Linked DNA regions of Alligator mississippiensis. The protein of the gene in region 1 purifies or fractionates together with the protein of each later gene. This does not show direct contact. Links are inferred from orthologs where the notes say so. Each region holds a gene or a part of one and is shown on either strand. Other genes may lie near its edges. The genes, in order: LSM1 and LSM6.

Region 1 (15,199 bases):
ATCCCACATGCAGTGTCTGTAGTTTAAAGCAAGATGTAAGGGCCAACAGTGCTTTATTCCCAAGTGTGATCCTCTTTGTCTGGCACAGGTGGGAACTGGAGGCATTGGAGAAGTGGCATGCCTTGACTCTGTGAAGGGAATGCTTGCATTGTTACTTGTGTGACAGATCTAGGACCAACACTAGTAGGCTCCATAGCCTTGAGAGCATAAACCTTTACCTTTGTCTCATGAACTGGAGGGTGTGGAGCAGGAACTCCGTTGCCCGGCCAGGATGGATGCGACTCAGAGACATACGGGTTCCCATGTGTTGTTGAAGCAGCTGACCAGCCATAACGTGGCTGCATCCCATAGACTCCTGAGGGAGCCCACAACTCCTCCTGGGGTCTTGGCTGTGACGGGGGGCCCTGTGGTGGAATCCCCGGACTAGCATCGCCATATGAGTAGTGTGGGACAGCCATGCCTGGCGTCTGCAGGGAGGAGAACAGACACTACCTCTGAAATCACATCCACTCAGCCAGCAGTAATCCATACCAAGGTGCTCCTTGTTAGGAACAGCATGGTTGGATTGGCTATCCTGGCTCTGCTGGGTCAGCCTTTCTACCCTAGCTCTACAAAAAGAAGGTGTTACACATTTCAGACAGGGAGGGCTCCTTGGGACATTCATGCAGTGGAGTTGTTGTCTAAGCCAGCCTGGTACAAACAGGTGACTGCTGGATAGTTCGCCAGAGACAAAGCGCCTTCGACCTTCTATTGGATGGAAATGCCCGTCAGGACTGCAGCCCTGAATGTAGGACTTTGGTCTCTCCAAAGCAGCAGCTACAAGTGGATGGACAGGACCTGCATAAGTCCTTTATCACCCTCCCCGGTACCCGGTTGACTGGCCAACTACTTTCTCTACTTCAGGGGAGAGGAACAGCTTTTGCTAATCCTTGACTTTTGCTCCTGCCCCAGCCTGCTCTTGGACTCTGCTTGCTAACCCTAACATTGACTTTGGCTCCCCAGTACTGGTTCTAATGCTCTGGTCCTCCAATCTGGTAACCCCAATCCTCAACTGGTACCTGACAATAGTGAGAAGCAGGAACTGTGGAGTCTGTTTCTCGAGCTCAGGGATTAGCAGCTGGTAGCTGGAGAGGCAAGCTGCACTTTGCAGTGCACTTGCCAGGCTTTGGTTGAGGAGGGCTGTACTCAGCACCACCAAGTACCTGGCTGTGAGCATTGCCCACCCCAGGCAGGCTTCCAGAGGAAGCACCCATTGTTGTCTGTGTCCTGGCTTCCTTACCTGTGGTGGGGAATACCCTGGGACGTGTCTCCTGAGAGAGGAGCTTTCTGCTGTGCAGTCTGCTGTGGGGTAGTTCCAGTGAGAAGCTGGTGATGGAGACCTGTACATGCCTGCAGATTCTGCAGGGTAAGGGGGCTGTGGGGGCCCAGAGGAGTAGTAAGTGTTTGATTGTGCCAAACTGGGATAGTGTGCAGGAGCCGAGGGGTAACGGGTGCCATAGCCTCCATTTGTGTAGGGAGAATCCAGCCCCTGAAAAGCAATCAGAGAAGGTACTAAGAACCTGGACTGGCTCTGGGCTTCTAGGTCTGAGAGTACAGAAGCAGAATGGTTTGGACAGCAGTAAGAACAGCATTTTAATTTTTACAAGTCAAGAAATAAGGTATCCAACCCAATCTGGTTGCTGAGGGATAGTTCCATGCATCTACTTCCTCACTTGGGGGATTCAGATCTTACTGTGCAAGTAAGGGTGGAAATTTTGCATTGGAAAAATGCTGGGGTAGAAAGAAACAGGACAGGCTGTTAGCAGGGGAGTGCCTGTGACCATATTACAGATCTAGAAACTGATGCCTCTTCCTTTGAGGAGATGACTGTTAAGCCTTATGGAGATTGTGATCAGATGCTAAGTATTGGGCAAATGTGAAGCCTCCCAAAGCCCTATCAGGTAGGACAGCATTGTTTTCCTCTCAGCCCACTCCTTCTGGCCCCTTGCTGGAATCCACTTCATCATCATTAGCCCTAGAGATTTGGATTTTTCAGACCCAGTCTGGAGCTCTAGTAGCTCACTGACCATTTAAAGCTTTTTGACTGCCTACAGCCTGTGGACAGAGAGGCTTCAAAGCCTGGAAGGTTCCCAGCAGTACCAAGAGCTCCTCCTGGAGACACTGTGTGCTATCTTGGTCACCTGCCATGTACTCATGCAACAGTGGACATCAGTGACCCACTCCCAGGCCCTTGGCAACAGGGTGCAGGGGGGCAATGATACAGCATACAGAATGCAGTGACATCAGCCTGAGCTGAGCAGAGGGCTCCATGTGTCAGAAAGGCTGCTGTTACGGTCTGTAGCAGTGCAGGTCTCTGAGAGAAGTGCCCAAATTTGCTAGTTGGTTTTGTCTCCTCAGGACCAGAGCCCTGTCTTTAGGCAGGGCCAGGGGGTGACATTGACAGGGTCTTACCTAGGAACATGGTTATGTGAAACATTTTAAATTCAGGGTTCTGAATAAATGAAACCCAGCATTAGCAACAATTTATCATGAAACAGGCAAGCAACTTGCACATAGTAAGAACCTCTCGGCATAAGTTATACTGGCTCCCCAACTTGTGTCCAGCCCGAAACATTAAATACAATGAGGTGTCCTACTCGGGCCCACTGTCCTCCCATCCTTCCTATTTGGTTTCTGCTCCTTGTGAGCCCTCTGCCTGGGTCCTAAGACTTTCATACAGGACCTCCTGTCCCCACAGACCTCTCTAGCTGCGTGGACCTCTGGCCTGCTGGCCCAGCTCTTGGTCACATGCTCCCATCACAGGCCCCTTGGTTTCTGGAAAGTCAAGCCTACTTTTTCACTAAACTATGGAAAAGAAATTTCCCCTGAAGGGCTCGGGCAGTTTTGAAATCTTTGAGAATTGTGTGGCAATGAAACTGATCACAAATTGCATTTGACCTACATGTGATTCAGCATCATGGGCCACTGTCTCCAAGGGAAGTCTAGGGGAGATGGGATGGTTGCTCCAAGTGGAAGAATACAAGACTGCCACAGTGAAACGCCTGGGGCACTTGGGTATGGAAATCAGTCAGGATTGAGGGGTCTGCCACTGCTTTGCTCTGGACTTCAGACAAGTCACAGTTCCCTTCCACCCTGTAAAACAAACAAAATCCTGCCTCAAGCTGTATGAAAGAAGAGCATGATGTAGGTGCTGAGCATTACTTCAAAGCTGTGGCTCAGTCCAGGACTGTCCGCTAGACGTGCACTGATGCATGGATCTCATACCGGATCAGTACCCATATAAAGACAACTGGCTGTATCAGAAATCAGCCTGACGCAGCCAATAATTTGGCCGATAAATGCTCGTGCGCGCGCACGGCTGCAGCGCAGCACTCAGGCAGCGAGGGACAGAGCTGTGTGCAGCTGGTAAATCCGTTGTGGCGGAAGGGGAGGGAAGGAGCATGGGGGGTGGGGGGTGGGGGGACGGATGACAGATCAATGTCCCCCATGGTGAGGGAGGGGGCAGGTGCTGCCCAACTGGGGTGGGGCAGGGCATGGGACAGAGCCACGGCTCCCGGGGAGTGCGGGGGTGGCTTCCACCGCTGCTTGCACCCCAGGAGGGCATTGGGGGGGGGCATCTGCCCCCAGATCTGTGTGGGGTGGGCAGGTTGCAGCTGCAGGCTGGAACCAGGGCTGAGCCAGGCTCTTTTTGGCAGGGGCTGGGGCTCAAGGTGGGAGCTTCGAAGAGGGCTGCAGCCAACCACAAATTTTGCTGTACTCCTACTCCCAGCACTGCCGCAGCCCCAGCTCTTCCCGGCGCGTGGGTGGAGGCAGGGCGTTGTGTCAGGTCTGTGGCAGTGGTGCTGGGGGCAGAGCTACAGCGAAATTTGGGGTGGCTGCAGTCCCCTCCCGAGCCCAGCCCCTGCCAAGAAGAGCTTGGCTCCAGCCCGCAGCTGCAGGCTGCCAGCCCCACGCAGATCCGAGGGCATGTGCCCCCCCTTCCCCCCCAAATGCCCTCCTGGGGTGCAAGCAGCGGCAGGAGCTACCCCCGCCCCTCCAGAGGATCCAAGGCTCTGTCCTGTGCGTCACCCCGCCCCAGCTGATCAGCACCTACCCCCTCCCTCACTGTGGGGGGCACTGATCTGCCCTACCACGCTTCTTCCCTCCCCTCCCCTCCCCCCACAATGGACTCACCAGCTGCACACAGCTGTATCGGAAATCGGATCGGTATCGTTCGATATCCCTCCTTAAAAATCAGCTATCGGTATCAGCCCAAAAAAATCTCTATCATGCACCTCTGTCTGAACTTTTTATAGGATATATTTTTGGGGGGAAAGTGTTCTTCCTGCTGTTTGTGCACGGCTTCCTCCAAGCAAGGCACCCCTGCAACAGCACAGGAGAGACCTGACAGAGCAGGGGCATCTACACCAGATGCTACTGCACAGTCGTTACTGCACGTTTATTTAGTAGTTGTATAAGCAAGTGCTAAAATAATGTGCAGTGACCTGAGTTACTGCGCAGCAGCGCCAGCAAATGCCTTTTTTTGTGACACTACTTCACTGTAGTGTCGTTTCGCTGTTTTTGCCATGTGACGCTACAGCGCAGCAATACTGCAGTCAGTGTCTCCTGTAGATGTGGCGAGTTATGGAACCAGAACATACAAAGTACTGTATTCTGCTGCTTCCCTTCCTCTGCAGAGGCAGGGCATCTCTTGGTTAATGTCTGCCCTCTACTGGGGATAGACCACTTCATTACTATTATTTATTCAGGCCCTAACCAGTGTTGCTGATTCTTAGCTACTCTCTGTTGGTAATTTTGCTGGGCAGACACTTTCCTGCTCACATGGCTCCCACCTTCTGTTGTGTTAATCTCTCCGAAAAGGAGGAACTGACCAAGGTCTAGTCCTCCCATGCTAGTTTCCAAGCCCCAGGCCTTGCCTGAAGAACCCTGCTTATTTGGCTGTAAAGTACCTGGCAGTGGGGACCATGGCGTGTTACCTCACATGTGTTCCCTGAGGGTTTGTCACCCTTAGGCCTACTGAGTAGCTCCTTCAGTTCTCAAGGCAATGAGAATCCTAGGTTCAGCCACAACTTTTCAAACTATGCTTTCCTTGTTTAACACTTTTGAAGTTAGAAATGTCTACAAAACATAGCAAGGCTCTGGATGGAATTGGGAAAAAATTCTACTATTTGTCCTTGCTGCCAACTCCCCTCTCTTTTTCTACTCCGCTTTTTAAAAAAAAAAAAAGAGCTGGAGAGGGAAAAGTAGGGAAAAACAACGAAGGAAAACCCAAAATATCATTATGCAGCTTATTGGGAGAAGATGAAATAACCAAAGGTGTTCCTTTTCAGAACCAGTGGATCTTTTTCTCCAAGAATATACTGGCTTAGCTTAGTAACGAGTGTCCATACGCCAATGCTGCTGTTTACGATCAAGGTGTGTTACACGTACTGTAGGAGCATCCTAGGTTCGCTGGGAGGGGCACCGCGCACATGTGGAAAACCTCTGCATTAGTGCTCACAGTAATTTCCAAATAGCAGCTGGCCTCTGTAGGCCCCACAGCTCAAGCTCTTTTTCTTATGTGGCTTGCATCTGCTAAACTGAGCGTGTGAAATGCTGCTTCCCCAGTCACGAAGAATGCTTTCGCTGTTTATGAGCATGAGAATACTTTAAGACTGCCAGGGAAGCAATATGGTCACAATCATTCTTTAAAATAGATACCAAGAACTTGGGAGTGCTCAGAGGAGAACTCCCAGCACAGCTATAGTGGAAAATGGTGGTGAGAGGCGCAAACAAGCCCCAGCACTGTGTGCTACAGCAGCCTACACAATGAGAATTCACTGCTGTGGCTCAAGCGTTAGATGCGAGCATGAAACCCCTGAGGCAGCATTTGTCCTGTCACTAGGAAGTGCCATTTAGCTACTGTTCGGAGCACTAGGAAAAGAAAATGCCAGATTGCTTTGGCATGGAAAAAAGCTTTTCACGCAGGTCCCCACTATGCTGGGAAAGCTCTCGCTTGGGTGAAGATGGATGCTAGTTTCTTCAGGAGACAGGATAAAGAAACCGGAAGATACAGCCTAGTGTTGGGGGAAACCAAGAATTCCAACCATCGGGTCTAGGCAAGGAGGCAATGACATTATCCACGGGCTTTGAGGGAAAAGCAGCAGAGTACTTCAAAGGACTGTTCTAGTATCAAGCAGCAAAAGGTATTTCCCTGCTTGGAGCCCCATGCTGACGTCACAATTTCTAGGGCAACCCAAAATGCACAGCAGGGACTGGGACCTGGATTCTGTCCCATTTCCAGGACTGACTCACTGCACAGCCTTTGGCAAGTCACTACAACGCCCTGCCCCAGTGTTTATGAGCAAGGGCTCATAAAACACGATTAATACCTTAGTATAGGTGCTATGAGACAACTAATTGCTTTAACTGTATGCAGAGCATTTAAGTATCCTTGGCTGAAGGCCATTGGCAGGGTCTAGCATTATTCATGGGCCACCGGTGTAAAAATAATTACTCCAATTACCGTTAGTTCACTGGCAATGGGACATGGTGCTTTGTGCAGAGCATCTAGAAGTAGCCAGCACCAGCAGGCAAGGGGATTCAGCCACAGTTTCAAGTATGGCTGGTGCAGGTGTTTCAAGTTTCAGCTTCCAGCTGACACTCAATATAATGCTGTGGTATCTAGGAAGTAGCATTTCCTGAAGCCAATGCAACACGGAGGAAGCAGCAGAAGTCCCCAGGGCTTGCCTAAGTCTGCCATGCAAGCCCTGCATTTCTAAAATGGCTGGTCCCTTTGTTTGGGAGGAAACCAGCCCTTTGACTGGAGTCTTCTGGCTCAAACTCCCACCCAACCAGACAAATTCCTCTGCTTCACAGCAAACAAGATGGGAAGGTCCGTTGCCCAACTGTACCTGGCCTTGTAACTCAGCTCCAGCTGGATAGGGACTTGGGTAGGGAGCTCTGGACTGGGCCGTGGAGTTCCAGTAGCTGGAGGTGTATCCAGGATACGGTGGCTGCTCCTAAAGGTGGGGTGGGAAAAGGAGGTAAGAAAAGCACTAGCAGAAGATTACCTACCCTCTCAATAACGGGGAGAGAACTCACCGCAAAACATGCTGGAAAGCTGCAAAGGAAGAGTGTGCACAGTAATAATCAACTGCACGCTATATCTGTAGCACGCCATGGCAAGGAAGGGCCTGAAAACATACTATGGCCTCAAAACTATTATGAAATGCTACTCCACTCTATATTTATAGACCTTCTCACCTCTCCAGGCTGGCTGCCAGATTCACAATTCCTCCCTTGCCCATGCCGAGACGGCACTGCGAAAAGGAGGCGTTTTCCAGCAATTGTTGAAAGGAAAATTCAGGAGGAGATTGGATATGCATCTAGCTGGGGTCATCTAGACCCAGCACTCTTTCCAGCCTATGCAGGGGGTCGGACTCGATGATCTATTGAGGTCCCTTCCGATCCTAACATCTATGAATCTATGAAAAAGCTGTAGAAGAGCAAGGGCATCAGTGGAAGCATGGCACAGCAGCCTCGATGTGCTAACTGACTCAACGCAGGCTCCCAAGTATGGAAATCACACAAGAAATGCTTAATCAAACTGCACAATAGGCTGAAGGACCCGGGAACGTAGCAGCAATTGAGCTCAACTACCTCTCAGCACAGCTCTTCTCTTCATTGGCAGCTCAGAGGCTAGCTGTCCCTGTCGTCCTGGAATGGAAATATCTCAGGACTGGGGCGTACACGTTGCCCTTCAATAACCGGGGTTTAGCGGCCAACTGACCGCACGTCTGCTTTTCTGCCGTTATATCAGCGATGCAGTGCAGGGATAACCATTCAGACACGCGCTGCGATGTGCTGGGACAGACCATTAGTACTTCTTAACCTGGGGCAATGGATGTGGACGTCTGAACCGCTGCACTTTGTCCTGGGAGAAAATGGTCAGTCCTAGGACGTCTGCAACCAAAGAGTCCTTTCCGTTGGAGCTGAAAAGCATCCAGACGAAGGGAAGGACAGCAAAAGTGCACGGCGACACCCGGGCTATTCCCCTAAGAATTTCTCCGAAATCAGTAACATTTGTCAGGTGACTTATTTGCATTTTTTTTCCAGCGTGCGGTAACTTTTCAGTAAATACGGTAATTTTGAGCCTCTAAATACGGTAATTTCCTATTTTCGACCTGGCGGCGCGAGGGGCCGGCTCTGCCCGAGGCCCGCCCTGTCCCGCCCCGCCCCGCCCCGCCCGCGCCCAGGCAGCTGCGAGCCCTTCGCTCCCCCCAGGCCTCCCTGCAGCCCCGTACCTGCGCGGGCCGCTCCCAGCCGCCCCCGCCAGCCCAGGCGGCGGGTCGGGGCTGCGGGCCGCCGCGCGGCTCCATACGCCAGGGCGCGGCGGGCGACGGCTCCTACAGCAGGCGCCGCAGGGCCGACACGAGCGGCGCCGCACCCGGCCCACGACCCGCAGCCAATCAGCGGCGCCTCCGCTTCACGGCCACCCCCGGACCTCGACCTCTCACGGGCCGCCTCCCTCCTCAGCCAATCAGCGGCGCCGTTCTCTCACGGCCGCCCCCACCCCCCAAACCGCTTCCCCTCCTCAGCCAATCAGCGACGCCGTTCGCGACCTCTTCCTGGGCCCGCGCTCCTCAGCCAATCAGCGGCGCCGGCACCGCGCATCACCCCTCTCGCCTGTCCCCCCCCACCGAACTCCTTCCCGTCATCCCCTGCCAATCGCCAAGCTTCTTCCCTGTCCAACAGCGCGGCCAATCAGAGGGGCGGCTGTCCACTCCGCAGCCCGCCTCCTGCATGTCTCAGCCAATCGCTTTGCGGGGGCCCGTGCGTCGCCTCTCGCTTCCGCCAATCAGGCTCGGGGCGAGGCGGCTCCGGCAGTGCGTAAAGCGGCCCGGTGAGGCAGCGGTAGCGGCGCCTGCTGCGCGGGTGGGGCGGGGTAGGGCAGGATGAACTACATGCCGGGCACTGCCAGCCTCATCCAGGACATCGACAGTGAGTGGCGGCGGCTAGCAACTAGTGCACCGAGGGGGCCCCGAGCAGAGCACGCCGCGCAGGCCCGCGACGGGGCCTAAGGAGCTGGTGGATTCTGTCCAGTGAAACTGCCCCCCGTCCCCTATCACCCCAGCAGACTTACCGCCGCTGCGCTGTGCCCCCTTTCCCCTTGGCTGCTGCTATTGTCTCCCTGCATCTGTACTGCAGGTGTAGCCTGCGCAGTGTACAGGAGACCTGCGGGAATCCAGTGCTTCAGAAATATTCCACCCTCCTCCGTGCCCCTTCCTGTTCTTTTCCCCTTTTAAAAATTTCATTTTTTTTCTTTAACTCTTGCATAAAGAAAAGCTCCTCCTCAATTTGCCTGCCTGGTGCTCGCAGCCTGGTGGCCTGACTTGCAGCTCCTGGACTTTCCTAGCAGCTGCAGGTGCTCAGGCTGCGTGACTGAGGCCCTGGAGACGGAGGCGAATACCTGGCCCCTGAGGTCCTGCAGCAGCAGCGAGGGGCACAAGTTCATGTGGCGCTCTGGGAAAGCTTTCTTGCCCACTTACTCCTTGAGTGCATATGTTGATGATGATGATGATTGTTGCCTTGCATGTAACTGCTGACCTAGCTTTTAATGTCTTCCAGAAAAGCACTTGGTCCTGCTCCGCGATGGTAGAACGCTGATAGGATACTTAAGAAGCATCGACCAGTTTGGTAGGTGACAGCATAGCTTTGGTCTTGGTCGAAGCCCCCTGCTTTCTTATGAGTGCTCTCTAACCTTGTAACCAGCAAACGTACTGCACAAAACTGGCCCGGTGCAAACCAGCATTTTATGGGTGATGATTAGGAATCAACTTTTGGCATGTGACGGGGAGAAGCATTGCGCCTTGTTAGAATTGTGTTTGCACAATAGGATTCATGTAGCCTTGGAGAAAGCAGGGAGTGCTCTTTAGAAGTGGGTGTTGTTTCCCACATAACTGTTTGGGACAGAAGTTGGTGTCAGATGGTGGAGTACAGAGTGCTACAAAGAAAAGAGAGCAATTCTCCCTTTAGGTGCATGTCCTTCATCTCCTGCTGCATGCTTAAACACTTCCTGATGCTCTGGTTTGGTAGTTAGCCATCCAGACTCCGCTCTAAAGAGGTGTTTTTATTTTATTTTTCTGTTCAGAGTTCACTGGCTCTGGAATCCTCCAGTTCAGCTTTTCAGATAAAATAGTGTTGTCATTTTGGCATTTTTTTAACTTCACCACAAGAGGGAGCCACATGCCTGGTGAAGAGTGCCCCATAATGAATGGCCAAGGTGGCAGGGAGCCAAGTGGCCCAGATATTTTGAATGCTAGTAAAAGTAGCCACTAAGTGATGTACCTGAAGTGCTCAGGAAGAGCAGAACAGCTCACCTGGAGTGGGGGGCACTAGGCTTTCTGGTTGTGGGGGAGAGGTTTTATAACTGTAGTACACTGCTAATAGCGTAACCTAATCCAGAGGTGTATGTATAGGATACATTTTAAGAAGTGGCTTGTGAGTTCTGGCCATTGGTCCAGCTGACACCAGACCTTCAGCTGTGCATGAACTTTTTCCCCATTGTAGTACAGAGCACTTAAACCCAGCTCTTTCATGAAGGCTTGGGTTTTTGGCTTCCAGCTGAGCTCCCACAGTCCAGCTTTTTGAATCGGACTCCCAGGCTTGCATCACCCTCCAGACTATGCTGCTTCCCGTTGTGCTCTGGGATGAATCAAAGCAGAGCTGGGGAGTTCGCGTTAATCTTGGGGCACAGTTCATTGCCCATTGCACAGAGCCCAGTTTCTCTGTTGACTAAGATGGGAGCAAAAGCAAACCTGTAGCTCCTGTCCTACTTCTGTTAATGTGACTTGGCAAACCTTGGATCCCATGGGGCACATAAGAGGCCCCACTGGGTGTGACTGTATCTCCATCTAGCCCAGCATTCTGTATCTCAGTGGCAGAGGGTAGACACAAAGAGAAGGTACACTTATTATGCAAGGCCAATGCAGAATCCAGTGTAGTCCCTTCCCCTCCTCCCTTGGAGCTTCCAGCACTCAGTGGTCTGGCAAGTGCTACTTGAGGCTGCACCCCTGACAATCCTATTTAATGCTGACTGATGGACCTATCCTGCATGGATTTGTCTGATCTGTTCTTGAATGATTGCTTCATCAAGTCTGGGCAGAGGGTGTTGGTCATTAGCATAAAGAGCAGGATGAGCACTTCAGTACAAGTTCAGCAGAAGAGCTATATTGCCCGTTAAAGAGGCAGTGACTTAATTGTAAGCAGCAAGTTTGCACTTGACAAGTATTTCCTGTTTCATTGGCTTCCTGTGTGATGTTGTGGAGAGTAACAGATGTGCCATGTAGAATAACAATGCTTGCTTCTGCTCATGTGCCAGTCATGAGCAGCATTGCCTGCTTCCTTGATTCCAAGCAATCTGGACTTAAAAAAAGCACTGACTGTACTCTGAGTGGTGTGAATCAGCAGCCTGTACCTTCTTTGCATTTCTCTTGTCATTTGAAAACTAGCACTTTTAATATTCTTATTGGGGTAATCTTCTCTTTGAATTCACATGGAGAGCAGCTTCTGGCTTTATTTGAGATCAGCTGGTTTACAATTAAGGTGCGGTGCTGATAGCAGGTGTTTATTGCTGCAGGTCTTATAAATCCAATGACAAAAAAGTACTTAAGAACAGTGTGGAGGTGCTCTTGCTGTCCATGGCTTGCTAAAGCTTTTTTCTGAAATCTGGCCCATGTGTCTTCCTCTTCTGGCTTTACCCTCTCTGTTTGGCAATGCTCATCTCCTTCCTTATTCAGTGAATGTCCAGGGAAACCCTCTTAACAGTATGGGACAACTGGACTTTAATGGCTGTTGAAGACACAGGGAAGGCCATGTTTTTGAAGGGCTGATACAAACACTGATGTCAAACTCTGCAGGAGCCAGTCACCCTAAATATAAACATATTTTATGTTCTGATCATCTCTGAGGCTGACAGTTGAGTTTCATATCCTAGGATAAGCATAGCTGCAACGAGAGACCTCCTAATCAATCGTGGTCTGCAGCAAACAGTGCTGATCAATAGGCAGATAATGACTCTGACCTCTGGGGCTGGGGTACTGCGTTGCTGCAGTGAAACTTCTGAAACCCATAGCAGAACTGTTCGAACCAGTGGAGCTTTCTGTAAGAGGTAATGTTAAATGTGGAGTCCCAGTGCTGTCCCTCCCAGATATAGTGTAGTGGAGAAGCACCAGACTCTTAGGCATGTCAGTTCCTGGCTGCCACTTCCCCTCATTGATGTACAGCACCCAGTATGGTGCAGCTGGGGTCTCTGTATACTTTTGTCATACTAAATGCTGCATGTAAGTGGTGGATGAAACTGCTCTTGCTGGAGTGAGAAGCCTTGAGGCAGGGAGGTGGCTTTGCCAGGTGTGGGTAGCCTTTGCTTTTTAGAACTGCAGCTCCCCTTGCTAGTGCAGACAGGACCTCCTCTTGCATTAGAAAGCGAAGTAACGTGCATTTCTTTCTCTCTGCAGCCAACTTAGTGTTACACCAGACTGTGGAGCGCATCCACGTGGGCAAGAAGTATGGGGATATTCCACGTGGCATCTTTGTTGTGAGAGGAGAGAACGTCGTTCTCCTGGGGGAAATAGTACGTAAGCATCTCTTGCTTGTCTGTGGTGTGCTCTTTGGCTTGCAGCACTGGCTTGGTGACTGCCTAGACATGATCCCTGCCTCTTACAGCTCATGGCTGTAGTTGCTCTGAGAAGCATTACCAGCAAGTGTGTTATTGGAGCTGGGTTTCACAAGCAGATGACACTGGGTGTATCCCTTCCGCACTTGGGGAAGCGTGGAGCTGGCCCAAGTCTCTGTTGTGAAATGCCATTGCGCACATACTGAGCCAAGCCCAGGGGAATTAGGTAATACTCTGGCTCAGCTCTTGGCACAGGGCTGTAAGCAAGAGGTGCTGACCCTGTGACTGAGCACCTGTCTTTAATATCCTTAGAGCTCTGCTGGTCTACCCTTTTAAATACATTTTACAAGACCACATTTTATCCCAGCACTTCAGAGTGCTGGAGAAATCTGTCATTCAATCCCACCCACTCAGCACTAGCTGTGAGTAGTGTTGCGCTAAGCAAGTCGCACTGCACAAAGATGGAGTATAGATTGGGGGGGAGGGGGTTCCTCCTCCCCCATTCTGAGACATTACCCAATGCAGCATTTTCAGTGTTGAGAAGTGAGTGAACTGCCAGTCCCATATTGAACCTGATATGGTTTAAGCTAAAAAACAGGAGGAGTGGGGATATAGCCCTCCTGTTTGCAGGCACTCCTCGAATACATGCAGTCCTCTGGTGAGTGGATCTCCAGAACTGGGATGTTTTAGACTGATATCAGTTTGTGGTTGTGTTGGAGGACAATAGAGTAGGTTCATTATGAAACTGCTAAGGACCAGTTGAAAAGCAAACTCCGTGATTTCAGTATGTACATTGCATCAGTCCCTGCTTCCCAACAGTGATGCTCCTGTTGAGTGAAAGGAGAGCTCTTTCTCTGTAACGAGCTGACTCCGTCCCTTTTGGTGTATCATCTTCCCTGGCCCTCTGACTGGAATAATGGCGTGAGCCAGGGAACAGGGTGGTGGACAGCATGATGGTACCTCCTTGCACCTCTGGCTTGGTCTGGACACACTTTTGTGTTGCTGGAAACCCAAAGTGTTCTTGATGCTGATGGAGGTTGGGGGAGAGGGGGTAGGTATGCTGCATAGCTTGGTTTATCACATGCTCTTTTCTCAAGTATTTTCAAGTATCAGGATTTTCCAAATGAAGGACAATATTGTAACTGAAGTCATAGATCCAATAGTTGGGTCTGGCGCACAGGGATAATGTGATAGTATGGGCAAATGAGTACATTTGTTGAGTTAGTTGTAAAGGGGAGGAGGAGCTTCACACCAGCTCTTCCATGATAAATCAAAGTTTATTTAGTCTGTTTTCCTTTGGAGTCCACTGGCCCAGATGAGTTCACACTTTTTGTGGGATAGGAGTGGGCACCTTTAAACTGTTTCTGCAGAGCAGCTGATGCACACTTAGTCTTCCCCCCACTTGTAATTCGGTGTTTGTTTTCTGACTTTTCCAAGGCCAAAAAGTTTGTCCAGACCAGGAGGGAGAACTCAATTGTTCCTGGCTTCCAGGTCTGTTAGGCCATGTGGCCTCTTGTTAAGGGCTGGCTGCATGTCAAATGGAGAGTGGCAGCATGTATGGGTATTGATAGCCTTAAGGAAAGGCTGAAGCCACTGACCTAAGTTTTCTTTGGCCATTGGGCTGAGCTGGACCTCCTAGTACTCTTCCACCTTCCCTTAAGTCCTCCTGTGCTCCTGCCCAGTACAGGAAATTCCAGGAGGCTCATGAATGGTCACACATGGCTGTGCATGTGGCTGAATCTCCAGGTGTTTGACTTCACCTGTGTCCAGATTGTCCCTTGGACAGCAGGACCTTGGGTCCTGGTATGAGCTCCCTCTTGACAATGCTAGCTAACCAGTGTTTCTCTTGCAGGACCTGGAGAAGGAAAGTGACACTCCTTTGCAGCAGGTTTCAATAGAAGAGATCCTGGAGGAGCAGCGGGTGGAACAGCAGGCCAAGCACGAGTCAGAGAAGTTAAAAGTGCAGGCACTGAAGGAACGGGGACTTTCCATCCCACGGGCAGATACCCTTGATGAGTATTAGGTGTTGTGCCCTATGGACAGTCTCCATGACTCAGATCAAGCAGAGTGCTTTGTGTGCAGATGGGGCCCTTGCAGCTCTGCTTTGAAAGTTGGCTCTTCATTTTGAGCATGTGTTTTCTGTAGCACAGAAACTGGTTAAAAAAAAAATGCCTTGTTTTGTAATCCTTATTTCTGAAGCACAGACATTCTGGTGGTGTCTGAATGTGTGCTGACAAGGCTGTGTGCTCTGGAGGGCTTGAGAGCACGTGTTCAGGGAAACCTGGTGTTTTGTTCTGTTTTTGTTTTTATTCTGTTTATCTGTGACTCGAGGGTATCTGCTCCTCAGCATGTAAATAAAACCTGGATCGTGATAATATAGCCTACAGTGTCCCTGGCCTCGGAATTGACTGTGCTCGCGTCTCTCTGGACTTCTCCCTGCTGAGGTGCTACAGGATATGCTAGGGATGGCAGTGGACCTAGGGCGACCTGGAGCATGCTTCCTGCCAACGACAAACTCAGCTGAGGGGTGGGATTAAGCCTCTT
Region 2 (14,566 bases), on another chromosome or scaffold:
CAGATTCAACTTCTAAGACCCTACTGTTGCCTGTATCATCCTGTTTACTCTATTTTCCACTAATTATAAACTGGAAGTGCTCAGACTGAATCCAAAATCAGCTAGTGAAATCATCTTGTCGTCATAATTGTTGTTCTTGTGTATTTAAGTATTTCTTCTCATAAGCAATAGACAGTGCAGTGTTTAGAACTCTTTAAAACTCATTTTCTGAGTTGTGCAGCCCTCTGTGGAAAGACTTTTCATTTTCAGCTGGAAAAATCTTATCTTTGAATCGGTTTTTACTGTATTAAAAGGAGAGCGAGTGAGTTGAGTGTGTCAAATATCACTTTGTTTTTTAAAGTTGACTGTAACGTTTTAATTATGTCCTCTGCGCAAAGATTCTGAAATGCCTTGTGTTTAAGGTTTAGAATAGGAATACGTACCACAGATTTCCATCATTAAGCGTAGTTGACAAAGGCCAACACAACTCTTTTCCTTGTAACCATTTATATTTGAGGTGAAGATGTTAATATGGAAATTTTGTGAGCAGGGAATGACTACGAACTCTATCACTGTAATTTATGACCTTTCAGCTAAGGCCAATGTAAAGGCAACTGCAATTGTTTTATACCTCAAGGCCAGCACATAGCAGATGTATGAAATTTGGAGTGTTAGACATAAACTTTTATTACCAAATTATAAATAATTTCTACCACTTACAGTGTTCACCTTTCAAGTTCATCGTGATTAAAACACAAGGGCAGCTTCTCACTGATTTCATTGAATTATAAAACTGAAAAAGCTTTATCAAAGTTCACTGTGAAAGGCTAAAGCAATATGGCATTTAAAAGAATCTACTGATAGCAAAACACACAAAGTTTTTTTTAGATCTAAATCCTTCTTCATCTGAAAGGCTGAGACAAAAAAAGATGTAATCACTAGCTGATTAGGTCTTAATTTTATTTTCACTTTGAAACCTTTAAAAAGTAAATTAAATATGGATTATGGAAATCTTTCGAAGACCACCTTTCTGAGGTTATTTAGATTTTGTCACTCAGGCAAAGTAGCATTCTTTTAGGTTGCCCATTAACAGATGCGCTTACATAATCCCTCTGAATATATTAGCAGAGGTATTCAACAGCTTTTCATCCCAGGTGCAAATCACACTACAGCAAAATGCTTGACAATAGGGGTCGTATTATACAGAGGGCAATTTATCACAAAGAACAACACATAAAACACCTTCATACCCTAAATACTGCACGTTATCAAGGTCAAGAATGAGGCTCTGGCTATGTGACGCAGTCTCTTCAACCCTAAATGATAGGAGCCAAGTGTGCTGTAGAGTTAGCAAGACTCAGTTCCCAGGTCTGAAAGTGGTCAAGTAGTGGATGGAGTTACCTTCAACTTAATTCATAAGATCACTAGGATATTAAGCAAGAACTCAAAGCTATTTCAGAAGGTAGCATCAAATATACGAGCATTCTGACTACAGAGCACCCAAGAGGTTAACAGACAGTGTATGTCAGGATTCCGAGGACTAAAGGTAAATGCACAAACCCCATCTCCTTTAAATGCAATTCACACAGAGATACTAGTGTAAACAGCAGCAATGGAAGGCCCACCAATCACAAACACCCTTGAGCCAGGCTTGCAAAAGTGTTACAAAAATTTACCAGTCCAGGCACAAAATCTATTTGCCCAGTCTTTACCCTGGTGATTAAAGATAACAGAAAAACTAATACTTCACCATCAAAATTATTGCTCACTGAAGACTAGTGGCCAAATTAAACCTTGTACGGCTGCTCCCAATAGTAACAATATTAGGTTCTTTTTCTGCTTCAACTACTAGATATAATCAAGCACAGTTGGAGGCTCCTGATTAATATGATGGTTGCCTGGCAACCTAATCACAATGTGGCTCCATTTCCCTGGCCTTGCCCATTCCTGAACTCCTAGGACAGTAAGGTGAACTTTATCCCGTTCATAGACCACGCTTGTTAAATCTCTCTTACCTAACCCTTTGAGAAAAGATATCACCAAAGAGTATAATAAAAAGATATGGGAAATGGCTCCAGACAGTAGAGAGAGGGATATTCACTAACCTATATTCCTTCACATTCTGCTCTCCTTTCTTTATTTTTATTTATAGTTTTAATAATATACTAATATAAGAATTATTTAAGAGTCTGGATGAGAATAAAATCCAATCTGAGAACATGCATAAATGAATCCAAGGCATACTGACATGATATGAAAGCCCTAAAGAGAAGGAAAGATTGCTCACTGCTAGGAGTAGAAGCCTGGATCCAGCAAAACACTATTTCAATTCACAAGCTTTCTGGGTGACCTTGTTCAAGTCACTTAATTTCACATCTTAATTTTCTCTCTCACATTAACAGAGTCAAGACTGAGACATTCAGATGCTTTGGTAATAGGAATCATATAACGCACAAAAATATTCTGGTATTAATAGCATTCCAGTTATATAATAGAATAGGCTATGATACCACTTCAGATAATTTTTCCATAAAAAAATCTATAAATTATTTTCTAATATAAATGTAAGGCATAAAAAAATACAGCCACATCAACAAATCAGAATTTACCTAATAAAGATTCAGTAGATTTGAAAGGTGAATTACCCTCAGAACATGCAGGCACATTTCTTAGTGGCTTTGTGTGAAATCAATAATGCTTTTGCATTGTCATAATTCTAAAACAGATATGACTTATGGTCTTTAACAAGGCAAAGTTACACGTCATATATAACAGAAATGCAATGCAGTATAAAAATCTCAGATTTAAGCGGTAAGAGTTTTTTCCTATGAGCCTGAGTAGCTTTCAGCAAATCAGGAAATAATGCACATTAAAATTCTGACAATTATTTTTTCCCCTCCTATACCTTTCAAATTTGTGCATAATTCTCTTTCTCTTAATGGGAAAATTGAGCAGTACTGTTCCTTTGCTGTTGAAGAAGATGACAAGAGAACAATTCTGGGAGATTTTTTTTCAGAAGTTTGCTGTTTAATTTAAATACCTTGGATATCTGATGAGGAAGAATCTTTGGGTCTCTTCTTAAAACCCTGTATAGCTCAGGTTGAAAAGCGGGATGCTTCATATCTCAGTTTTGTTTCAGAACAACTTAGAGCATGCTAGATTCTGTTGCCCAACATATTGTGGAAAAATTCAAAGGGAACTGCAGCAGATGGATTCAGTACAGGCACAGCTGTGGCTCTGCTTTAGAAGAATGACAGAGATTAAGGGTTATGCATACCTGGGGAAAAACTGTATTTTGGGACAAGTTTAACTGGGAGAAGATGCTAAACAAGTAGCAGCCCCTCCCATCCAGTGATAATGATCCAAGACCCCTAACTGGTGGAGAGGCCTCCTACTGGCATGCCATGCCTTTATAGAGTAGGGATGTTCAACCTCCAGCCTGAAAGGCCATGTATGTCATTTGGTCCGTGGGTGCTGCCATGGGTCCAAAAAATTTGGCAGTTGGGGAGTGGTGGCAGTGTTAATTGCAGCTTCCTTGCTGCCAGATTTCCAGACCCATGGGGAGCTCTGTGCCAGATGACATACCTTGTGTACTAAATTATGCTGGTGTGTGGGGTCAAGCCAGTTTGCAGCCAGATCTGGAACATGGGGTCCGGTCACTATGCAGCAGGATCAGACCGGTATCAGACACTATGCAGCAGGATCAGACTGGTCAGTAGCCAGATCTGGTGCATGGGGTCAAGATGGTGAGTGGCTGGATCTGGTGTCCCAGATTGGGACATGTGTGGTGTCAGGCCAGTATACCAGATGGTACCCACAGACCAACTCCATGCATCGGGTCCAGCCCATAGACTGGTCCCTCACCACTCCCCAGTCTCTCACCACTCCCCTGGCCTGAGGGGCTTAAAGATTAAGCACCACTGTTATAGAAGTACTACTGTTATATTATTTCATAATAACAAGATCACTGTTACAGATGTTGTGTGGGCAGTCATGGCATGACAACTAAGAATGGGATGCTGAATAGACAGAAAGAATTAACTAGACTAGATGGCACTAAACCTAGAGTAGACACCTCCAGAAAAGCTTGAAAAGCATGCTGTAGACTCAGTAAGACGGGGTGGGCAAAATATGGCCCTTGGACAGGATCCAACCTACTGAGGGATTTTTTTCTGGCCTGTGGCAGGTCCCTTGGTTCCACCCAGCCCAGGGGCCAGCCTGGGCTGTGGTGCTTATGCCCAGTCCTGCCACCTCTGGGCACGCAGCAGGGCTATGTCCAGGGCTGAGACCAGGATCTTGGGGTGCTGACAGCATGGGGCTGGGGCCTGCACACCCCTTGCCTGTGGAACCCATGCCCGGGACGCAGGGCAGTGAGAGCAGTGGATCGTGGCTTTACCCTGGCCCCATGCTGTCAATGCCCCACAATGTGCCCTGTGATCCCAGTTTCACCTGCCTGTTTCACTCCTGGACACTGCTCCCTGCTCGCTCACGGACCCATCCCATCCACCCTGCCATGTGCAGAGCAAAGCCACATAAGGAGTTTTGGTGAGATGTTGCACAGGCAGGGGAGTGCTGACCCAGCTCACAACAGCTCACCAAAACTCCCAATATGGCCTGTGGGCCCAAATAACTGCACACCCCTGCAATAAAAGGAGCTTGAACGGCTGCAACTTCTGCTTTGAAAACAAAAGAGTACATTCCACTGCTATCAATCAAGCATCTTTCATAAGCATGGCACCCACACAACACATAATAAATAGAAATAAAATATTTGTACAAATACAGTTCATCTTAAGCACCGTTAGGCTAATGGGTGAACAGTGCATGAGGGAGATGTTCTAATATCAGCTGTAAGCAGGTATATGAACCAAACATGAGCATGGCTGGAAGGCATTCACATCACACCACCTGCAATGTTACCTTTCCTCTGGCATTCCAGCACCTCAGGTATGACCAGCTATAGTAAAAAAAGCAAGACAAAGAAGTCAGTGGTTTGGAAAGTTGACCATCATTTAAAAATATTTACAGCCTCTGAAAAGAGAAGCATGGGCCAGGATGCACATTCTGCAGGGATCTAAAATTAACAGTGTTGCAAGAAAGCACCAGCAAATTGAATGGGAGGACACCCTTCCTTACTGGCTCACAGCCCCATGTTAGGAAGGGCTGATTTACCATCCTCTTCTAGCAGAAGTCTGCCCGTGGAGAGGTGGTTGCAAACATGCCCCAGCACACATAGCTCAGGGGCAGATCCGAGGGAGTGCACTCACACCCCACTTTGATTCCTGCTCTACACAAAGTTTAAAATGAACTGCCTGGCAGTAGCAGCAGCATTTCTAGTCAGGCATTGCTCAGGGAGTCAATTGACTCGATAGCTCAGTATCATCCCACCTGGTTCCATCTAAATTCTTCATTCCACAGGTGTTAATGGCTTCTTTCCATGGGTCTTGATGCTCCACCAAAAACGCTATCCTTTGTTCTGCCATTCTGCTGTCTGTTCCCTGCTCCTGATACTGAAGCTCCTAATTCTCAGCTTTGCAGACTGTTTTTAACTCATTCCTATGAAGTTAGGTTTGCTTTTGCTTCATTCTTAAACTGAGTAACACAGCCCTAGGCCTGTAGTGTCTACATGAAGCTTCTAATTTCTTTTTAACTGAAGAAAGATAAATGCTGTTATATGTGATGATGCACCTCACCGTCCCCATGCCCCCTTTCCAAATTCCACGTCTGCATACACTTCACAGCACAAAGAGAAGAGGGAGCTTTAGGGGCAGAACGTGCGACTTTAACCTTGGACTCTAATCTGAGGCCTTCTGTATTAAACCAGCAGCTGACTATGACTAAGGTGACTGCTGGCATCCACGTCTTAGCAGCAGGAGCAGGCAGAGAGGGAGGCTGAGGTCCTCAACCTTTTTAGACTCATTAGCCTTTGGGAAATGCCAGCTCTTCTGTATCTCATCCAGCACACTACATGCCCTGATGGAAAATATGTAAGAGAAACCAAGAAATAACTGTGCACCAGAATGAACACACACCAGAAATCTATGAGAGACAGAAATACCCAAGCACCTGTGGGTGCACACTTCTCACAACACACCCACTCTCTCTCCAGTCTCTCACTTCTCATCCTCAAAGATAATGTACAAAACACCTTTCACAGACGAGCCTATGAACTTCACTTCTTCAATGTACTGGATACAAAAAATCATGGACTAAACAGACATTAGATTTACAGTACATTATAATCTGCCTGACCTTCAATAACCCCAGGTAACCTCTCTACATTTTACCAGCTACATTATCACCAGGTCAATAATCCCCCACCCCTACACCTGCCTCACACCTCTTGTCCCCCATGGCCTCTGATCCTCGCTGCCATTGCATTTGCATTTTTGCAGGCCTGCATTTTACACGTTGGCTTCTGTTCCATCCAGGAGAGCACGAAACATCCACAGACTCTTCCTGTGCCTGAAGAAGGGTGCTTGTGCCCAAAAGCTTGCAAAGAACAATTTCCCTAACTATTTAGCTGGTCTAATAAAAGATATCATTTATTGAAAAAGCCTTGTGTGCCTATGTCCTTAAGCTAACACGGCTACAACACCCCCCCAGCTCTTCGTTTTCGCTCTTTATTTAAGGACAGGAGAGTAGCAGGGCAGGGTTTCTGCTGCACAACCACAGCCAGGGCTTCCTAGGGGCCATCCCGGGGCTCAACCTGTGAAGCAGCTTGGACAGGATCCCAGGTACCACTGGGCCAAGACACCCTGGCTGAGCACCCCTGGACTAAGAAGACTTGCTGGGCTGGGCTGGGCTCGGCTTGGCTGAGCCGCCGTGCACGGAGCCCAAGGCAGCAAAGCAGCGGCCTCAGACCCTTAAAAAGGGCACTGGAGGGTGGGTGCGGAAGCTTTGCAATGGGCAGATCCCATTGGGGCGGGGGCGGGACCCTGCCGAGCGCAGAGCAGCGCAGCGGCTTCACGTGCTGGCCCCGCCCCAAGTCCCCAGCAGAACGCGTTCTTGTCCAAGCAGGGAGTTCTGGTCCCGGCAGCTCGCCGTAGCAAGGCGTTGATTGGCTGTTCGTGCGCCCGGCAGCTTTCCTAGCCAGCGGGTGGAGCAGCGCGCGGGTGAGCGAGCTAGGGCGCGCGGGGCAGGGGCAGGGGCCGGGCCGCTGCCGGCCAACGGCAGTGAACTGCCTGGCGCCGTAGCCTGGGCGCGGGGCGCCTCAGGCTGGGAGCGGTGGCTCGATGCTGTGGCGCGGTGCTGTGGCGCGCAGGCCGAGCTTGCGCATGCGCATGCCGCGGCGGCGGCAGGGTCGGCTGCTGCGCGCGCACCCCGCTGGGTCATGACCTGCCCTGCCCTGCCCTGCCCTGCCCTCCCTTGCGCGGGCGCTGACGGGAACGGGTGCGCGTGTTTGTGCATGCGTCTGCATGCATGTGTGTTGTGTGTGTGCATGCGCCTATGCTTTACATCTGTGCCGCACAGCACAACACGAGGATCAGGCAGTTTTCGTCCAGTTTTATTTTAGGAAGGTGCATTTCGGTCCCCCCCCCCCCACTGCAGCGTCCGACAGCAGATCCACGTCCCGCTCCCCAGAGCTGCCCCTTTCTTCAGTCTCCTGCTGCCCCTTCCGTCTCCTGGGACAGCCGCTGATAACTAACCCCTGCTCCTTGCTTTCCCCTGCCAGCTGCCTGGGGAGCTGCACCTCAGTGTCCACTTGGATCATCTCACATGTGTCATGGAGGGGCTCTGGCTGTTGCTGGCTCTGTTTTGCTAATTTTTCTCCCCCGTACTGGTCCGGAGGTGCCCAGCATTAGGTGCACAGTGGCCTCTTTGAGACCTGTGCAGGCAGTTTGCGACTGGCTCATGTCCAGCTTTGTGTTTACTGCCAGCCTTGGGTTTCTTCTAGGATTTTGGCTTTCCCCTCAGCTCTTTCCTCTTCTAATAACTCTTCCTTTAGTGCAGTGTTTCTCAGCCTGGGCCCTGCGTCACCCTGGAGTGCCTTGAGGCCCTTTTAAGGGTGCCGTAGAGTGTTAGCACTGTTTGGTGTGCAGGCAGCGTTCATACGATAAACACGGAGATTTCAAATGGAAACCCAGTGTCAAAGCCGTTCTGCCCTGTTGTGGTCTTGCAGAGGTCTTTGCAGCAGAAGAATTGCTCTGTTATTTTTCTCTGGTGAAAAAATAGTGAGATCTAAGAGCTGGCATTTTCCCAGGGGTGCCTCGGGTCTATCAAGGGGTGCCTCAAGCCTAAAAAGGTTGAGAACCACTGTCCAAGCCTGTTTAGTAAGGGTTTATTAAGGACCCCCCAAAAAAAATCTGTTGATGAAAAAACTGATTGAAAGGTTTAGCTGGTGTTGTCAAGTCACACCTGAGCTTTATCTTTTATTGCCTTTCATCTTCTTGTGATGACTTCTTTCATGTGCCCCTGGGGGGTCACAAGAAAGAATGACCATAAGCTAGCAGAGAGCAGATTTAGACTGGACATTTAGGAAGAACTTCTTCACAGTTAGAGTGGCCAAAATCTGGAATGGGCTCCCAAGGGAAGTGGTGCTATCCCCTACCCTGGGGGTCTTCAGGAGGAGGTTAGATAGGCATCTGGCTGGAGTGATCTGAAACCAGCACTCTTTCCTGCCTATGCAGGGGGTCGGACTCGATGACCTATTGAGGTCCCTTCCGACCCTAACATCTATGAATCTGTGTTTATTTTCACATTGCAGAGTAATATGTTAATAAGTTGGTAGGGAATTTCATTTTTCAGCAGCTTGTCACAGACTATGTATTTTACAAACTAGTCTCTGGTGTTCACCGGAACCCTTGTCAGTAGTCTGTCTAGAGTTGGCTGTCTTTACTAATATCCATTTTATTACTATCAGTAGTAGAAAGCTTCGAGCATGTAAAGCAGCTAGGTATGAGCACATGGCAGCTGACTCTGTTATAGGGTGTCTGTAGATGTGCTGGGAAGCTGCTCCAACATGCTGAAATTACAGACTCGATTAATTGAGTCTGATGGAGTTTGCCAATTAGTGTGCGCCATCCAGCCTCCACCTCTTGTGTACTGGTGTCCCCACACTTCAAAATGGCAGCAGGGGCACTTTAGACAAACTTTTGTTAACTGAGAGCTGTTCTAATTGAAGCCCTAATTAAAGCCCTTGGAGAGCTGCTCTAATTAAAGCACCCTGGAGCACGTGTAAAAATGCCAGTAGTTTTCAACTACTGAAGAGGAAGAGAAATGAGGCATCTACAGAGCTGCCATCCACTAGTACCTGCATCTGGTCCATGGGAAAAGGGAGTTAAGTTGCAGGGGAGAAAGTGTCCAGAGAAGAGAGAAGAGGACTAATCATATGTTGAAAAACAGAGGAGGAGAGTTAAAGTCTCTCAGATTTTTTCTGGTTTGAAGGTAGAAGATTGTTTGTAAGTAAATTCCAAAATACTCCTTCAGATTTCCAAGTAAGCGTTGTCTTGTCCTCCCCACCCCCTGCAGAACACTGACTTGGTGGGACTTTTCTATCACTAAAATTTACCAAGCGTTTGGAAACTAGCCATTGATTTTAGAGTTGTCATCTTTCAGATTTTTGCAGTTGTAATTCCTGCAGCCGTTAGAAGATGAGTGAATAATTCCTTGTGACCTCTGTAAGTGCAGAGTTCATAGGAAGGTTCAACAGGAACACTAAGTGGTTATCTTGTTAGTTGGCATCCTTTTATTTCCTTCACCATGTCTCCAGCCTGCTTCCAGAACAGTCTGATTCTGGGACATGTGCATCACATGTAGTGGAATGTTCCCCAAACAACCACACTCCCTCCAACATTTGTCTCTACCATAAAAGCATTAAATTTTGAGTGGCGTGAGAGAGCACTGATATAAGGTTTTAAAATAATTTTCTTTTATTATTGTGTGGGACCATTATTTCAGATGGTCTCCCATTTTTTCAGTACTAATTTCTGATCCAATGGCGTAAGCCCACTTTGCCATAAATTGAGTTTATTCATTTTCTGTAAGGAACAAAACATGGGTAGCCATGAACAGTTACAGTACATGAAATACATTTCTCATATTACTTTTCTGTTGAGCTTTTGTAGTGTGTGAGGACTACAGGTGTGTTATCACAGTACAAGGAAAAATGCTCTATTGAGACACTAGGTTTAGATGCCATCCAGCCTTTGCAAAAAGTTGAACCCTTGATTGAAGGGACACAGACTAAATTCTAATTCCTTGATCTCTAAGATATGAGGATGTTCAGAATTTTTTTGTAAAAGGACTGTGTTCATGCTGTTGGCTTCCATCAGGGTTGTACAGGCCCTATTCTGCTATGATGAACAGTGTTAGCATTGCTACTCTTCACTGAACTCATTTTCTGGAAGTTGAGAATGTAGAAGGGTGAAAAGCAGGTGGGTATTAGAATTGCCTTAAACTAGATACAGGAACATAGCCCAGAGTTAAGAGCATCTTGGATAATTTTTTATGGCTATTAATGAGGTATAGGAAGGGCCAGCTGATATTTTTTTAAACAATATTATATGAATGTAGACAAATCATTAAAAATGTCTTCTACAGTCTAGAATTTAGTGTCACTGAAAACAGCACACAGAGATGTTAAGGTGTAAACAGATGTTGCGTTGAGACACCAAAAAAAAAATCTTATGGCAGCACAAAGGCCAAGCCAACAGATATACATGCACCTTGTTGCGCCACACGTGCCCAACATTTGTGGTGTGACATAAGTGGTATGATTTTGTGCCACTGTTTTGCAGCAAATATCTGTTTACTTTAAGGCAGGAATTCCCATTCCTGGGACATGGAGGATCAGGCCTCTGAAGCCTCAGGAATATCTACCTGCGTTCTTCTGTTTGGGATTCCCTGGGTGCGCATCAATCCAGTATAGTCCCAGGCCTGGGACTGTCAATCAGCTGATCTCCTTCATTGAGTGAAACATGTTGCCTGTTGTCCTGCCTACTGCTCCTATGGGACACGGGGCAAAGTGTTGCCCACTTACAGATGCACCCTGGGAATCAGCAGTCTCAGCCCTGGCACTGCGCTGGAGCAAGTTCAGTGCTCTGGTGTGGTCCTGGGGCTGGGACCATCAATCAGCCAATTTCCCGCACTGGCCTTCTCTGCTTGCAGAGATTCTCCGGGGTGCATCTGCTATGCTAGTGGGGAACATATTGCCCATTGTCCCGCAGAATCAGTAAGTGGGGCAATAGGTGATGTGTGTTTCACTCAGTTATAACAGATCAGCTGTGGCAAGAGATGCATGATGTCTGTGTATATCTTTATATGTTAAGAGGGACTTTAATCTACATTTAGAAATACTGAGCCAGGTAGAACAGCTATTTTTTTTCATATTACTTTTCTGAAAGCAGCCTAGTTTGCATGGTTAAAACTGGCACAATTTTATATGAAAAAGTGTTGATATACCCGAGATGTTTACTACAGTGTGAAGCATTGCACTTGGAAGCTAGTGATGAAATATGCAGAAATGCCTATAAATAAGTGCAGTCATTAAGGACAGAGTCTATTAATATACATCAAATAAATGATTGGGAAGGATACTTTTAATTCTTTAAAATATTGTTCCTGCGAGGTTTGTATTAAAGTGAAACTTTGCAGATGAGAAGCCTTGATGCAGATTAGTCCTATATATGATTTTTTAAAAACTGAGATTATGTCCAGTGTACTATGTACAATCTATAAAAATACCATATGTACTCGATTAAAAGATGAGGTTCCCCACCCACCTATCTAATATGGGAGGTGGAGTTGGGGAAAGGCCCCTTGGCTTACAATTGAGTGTGAGGGGCTGGGGAGGCAGCTGCTGTGGCTCTGGCCTTGGCCCTAACCTGGGGTTGGAGCCAGAGCTGCAGCTGCTACTACAGGGCCAGGCTGGAACCAGTGCCCAATCCCCCTGCCTGCAGTAGTGACAAGCTGTCAGCAAAGGCAAATGGAAGGGCAGGCGAGGGGTAAAGACTTTGGGGAGATGGGAGGAAGAGGGGGTAGGGACCCAAGGCTGCAGGGGGCAGAAGCTGTGTAGAGGGGGAATAGGGGAAGGGGGATCGGGGCTCTGAGGCTGTGGCGGGCAGACACAATGGGGTATGTAGAGGGAGGGAACAGACAGCTGGAGGCCTGCCTTTCTTACTGCCTGTCCCCCCACTTCTGCACTGCATGTCCCTTACCATGTGTCTACCTACTGCCTGTCTCTCATTGGTCCTTCCCCTGCCTGCCCTATTACTGTCCCCTCATCGTGTCTCCCTGCCCCTCCCCCAGTAGTTGGGGGGGGGGGGGAGGAGGAATTTAAGATCTACAGTAGTTAGATTCCATACATGGAGAATTATAGTAAACTTATACATATTCTGTGTGTAGAATCTAATTATTGGGAGGAGTCATCTTAAATTCAGGGTCATCTTATATTTGGGCAAGTACAGTAATCATGGCTATACGTGGTAGAAAGTACTCAGAACTGCTTTTCTCATAATGATTTATGTACCGAAATGGTGCTAGCAGGTCTTTAACATGTATTCCAGAATGCATTCCAATCTGAAAAAAGAGGGCAATTGATAAATAGCTTTAAAAATCTTAACAAGCCTATTTCCTTTGTTTAGGATGAAACATTCCCTACCAAACTGCAGCCAGGTTTGGATGTCTTAGTAGATGCAGATGCTGCATATGTACCACTGTGCAATGGATTTAAAAAACAAATGAACATGTCTTGTAGAAAGAGAATACCTAAATGAAAGAATAAAATCAAAGTGACTTAGAAGAACGTCCAGAAAAAACCCAGACCAGCTTCTGAGTTCAAATTGCCCCACATATATAAAATTAAACTTGTACATTATACCCTGTATTATGAGATGATAATATTCTCCTTGATCTCTGGACTAGTAAATGACAAAGCTTGATTCTGAATGCTCACTCTAATTTTATTGAAATTATTGCTCCTGCCAGGCAGCAAAGCCATCTCTGTATGTTAAAGGTATGGCAATTCTGTATTTTTTTGACGTTGAAAATACTCATTAACAGTTCTCGTTCCCATAATTCTCGTAAGACTACTATAGTAAAAAGTTGTTATGAACTTCGTAAATTGCAATAAATTAAATGGAAAGTTTCATGCTGTGGCTCTAGTCTTTTCTCCTTGTTTTTTTTATCCACTTGGGTAACTTTTCCCTGGTAAATGCCTTGAGAGCCACAAGTCTGCCTCTAGCTACTGAATCTTTAAACTCTGTATTTGAGTTGCTTATCTAAGTACTTTCGCCTCTCCTCTTTTTTTTTCCCTCCCAACCTACCAGGACTGTGAAAATGAGCCTGCGGAAGCAAACCCCTAGTGACTTCTTAAAACAAATAATAGGAAGGCCAGTTGTCGTAAAGTTAAATTCTGGAGTGGACTATCGAGGTAAGTCTTTCTTTCACCCCTGCAATAAACAAGTAATATTTAGTATTATTGTTGATGAGAGAAAAAGAAATATAGTCTGTTACTTAAAAAAAAGAAAAAACAAGATAATGCCGTAATTTAGATGGGCAAAAAAACCTTTGCGGCAAGGTTAAATTCTTGGCAGTTTGTTTGTTCTCTGGGGTAATGTGGTATTTTGGCCTTCCTCAAAATAGAATTGCTCCTATAGTAGTTGCTACTTACGTTAGAGTCTGACAGTTGTGTTGTAATGGTGCAATTTCCTTACAATGACAGTGTATCTCAGTAATAATTAGGTTTGAGAGAGAGAGTGGGTAATAGTTCAGTGATTTGAAGGTACTGGTTGAGGTCTAAATTCAGAAAAGCGTGTAAGTGTGAGTTGCCCTGTTGATATAACAGAACTGGTCTTGCCATGCAGAGCCTTAAAAAAATCACGTGACTGAGATTCAAGTGACCAGGATTGAAATCTGTGAGATTATTCACATACTTAGTCAAGCAGAGACAATATTTCTTTTTTGTTCTTAAATTGAGGGTTCACTTCAGTGTGTTGGAAAAATCCCACTGAGTTAGGAGCAAATGGCCCAGTGACTTCAGTGGGATTGCTGTTTCTTCATCCTTTAACATGCTTTTTAAAAACCTATAGCTGGTCCTTGACCTACCTGTATGAGCTACAGGGTTATGGCTTCCTTTTGTGGAAAGTAGATCTTTTAATGGTGTACCATCTCACTCTCACCTCTGCAAGTTTAGATTTGCCAGCCCCACCTTTCCTAGAAGTAATGTCATCAGTTAAATGCCTGAAATCAAAATAGCCTGACGAAGGGTTTTTGAACCCGAAAGCTTGCTTAATAAATATTCTTCAACTATTTGGGTTGGTCTAATAAAAGATATCAAATTCACCCAAGGAACCTTGTCTGCCTGAAATCAAAATACACATTTCAGATGTCTCCATTTCTTCCTGTATTAGGTGTTTTATTCAGTACTTCAGATATTTAAACATTATAGGCCTAATGCACATTGCCACTCTTTATGAAGCTGTTACTTCACAGGCTTCAGTTTACAGAACGGGAGGCATACTGTGGTGTCAAAAACTGTGTGAGATCAGCGATTGAGTACAATGCATGAAATATTCATGTGCAACCTGAGCTGTGACCTGTTCTTGTCACTTCAGGTGACACGTTTTGCCACCTTTACCTTCTGGAA

Evidence for each region.
Region 2: the proteins of LSM1 (region 1) and LSM6 purify together in Homo sapiens (co-immunoprecipitation; 3 studies listed by BioGRID and IntAct, counting the BioPlex papers as one, with this or other methods). This does not show direct contact. The link is inferred for Alligator mississippiensis from reciprocal best matches to the Homo sapiens genes LSM1 and LSM6.

The regions. Positions count from the first base shown.
Region 1 is NC_081830.1:18,345,517-18,360,715, forward strand, and holds LSM1 (U6 snRNA-associated Sm-like protein LSm1), read left to right. Parts: upstream 1-8,890; 5' UTR 8,891-8,936; coding exon 8,937-8,982; intron 8,983-9,609; coding exon 9,610-9,678; intron 9,679-12,497; coding exon 12,498-12,613; intron 12,614-14,507; coding exon 14,508-14,678; 3' UTR 14,679-15,034; downstream 15,035-15,199. Other genes in the region: BAG4 (BAG family molecular chaperone regulator 4), read right to left, coding at 219-467, 1,280-1,528, 6,894-7,001, 8,286-8,360. UniProt on the Homo sapiens protein: Plays a role in the degradation of histone mRNAs, the only eukaryotic mRNAs that are not polyadenylated. Probably also part of an LSm subunits-containing complex involved in the general process of mRNA degradation.
Region 2 is NC_081825.1:100,693,273-100,707,838, reverse strand, and holds the start of LSM6 (U6 snRNA-associated Sm-like protein LSm6), read left to right. Parts: upstream 1-6,986; 5' UTR 6,987-7,094; intron 7,095-13,247; 5' UTR 13,248-13,257; coding exon 13,258-13,351; intron 13,352-14,566. UniProt on the Homo sapiens protein: Plays a role in pre-mRNA splicing as component of the U4/U6-U5 tri-snRNP complex that is involved in spliceosome assembly, and as component of the precatalytic spliceosome (spliceosome B complex).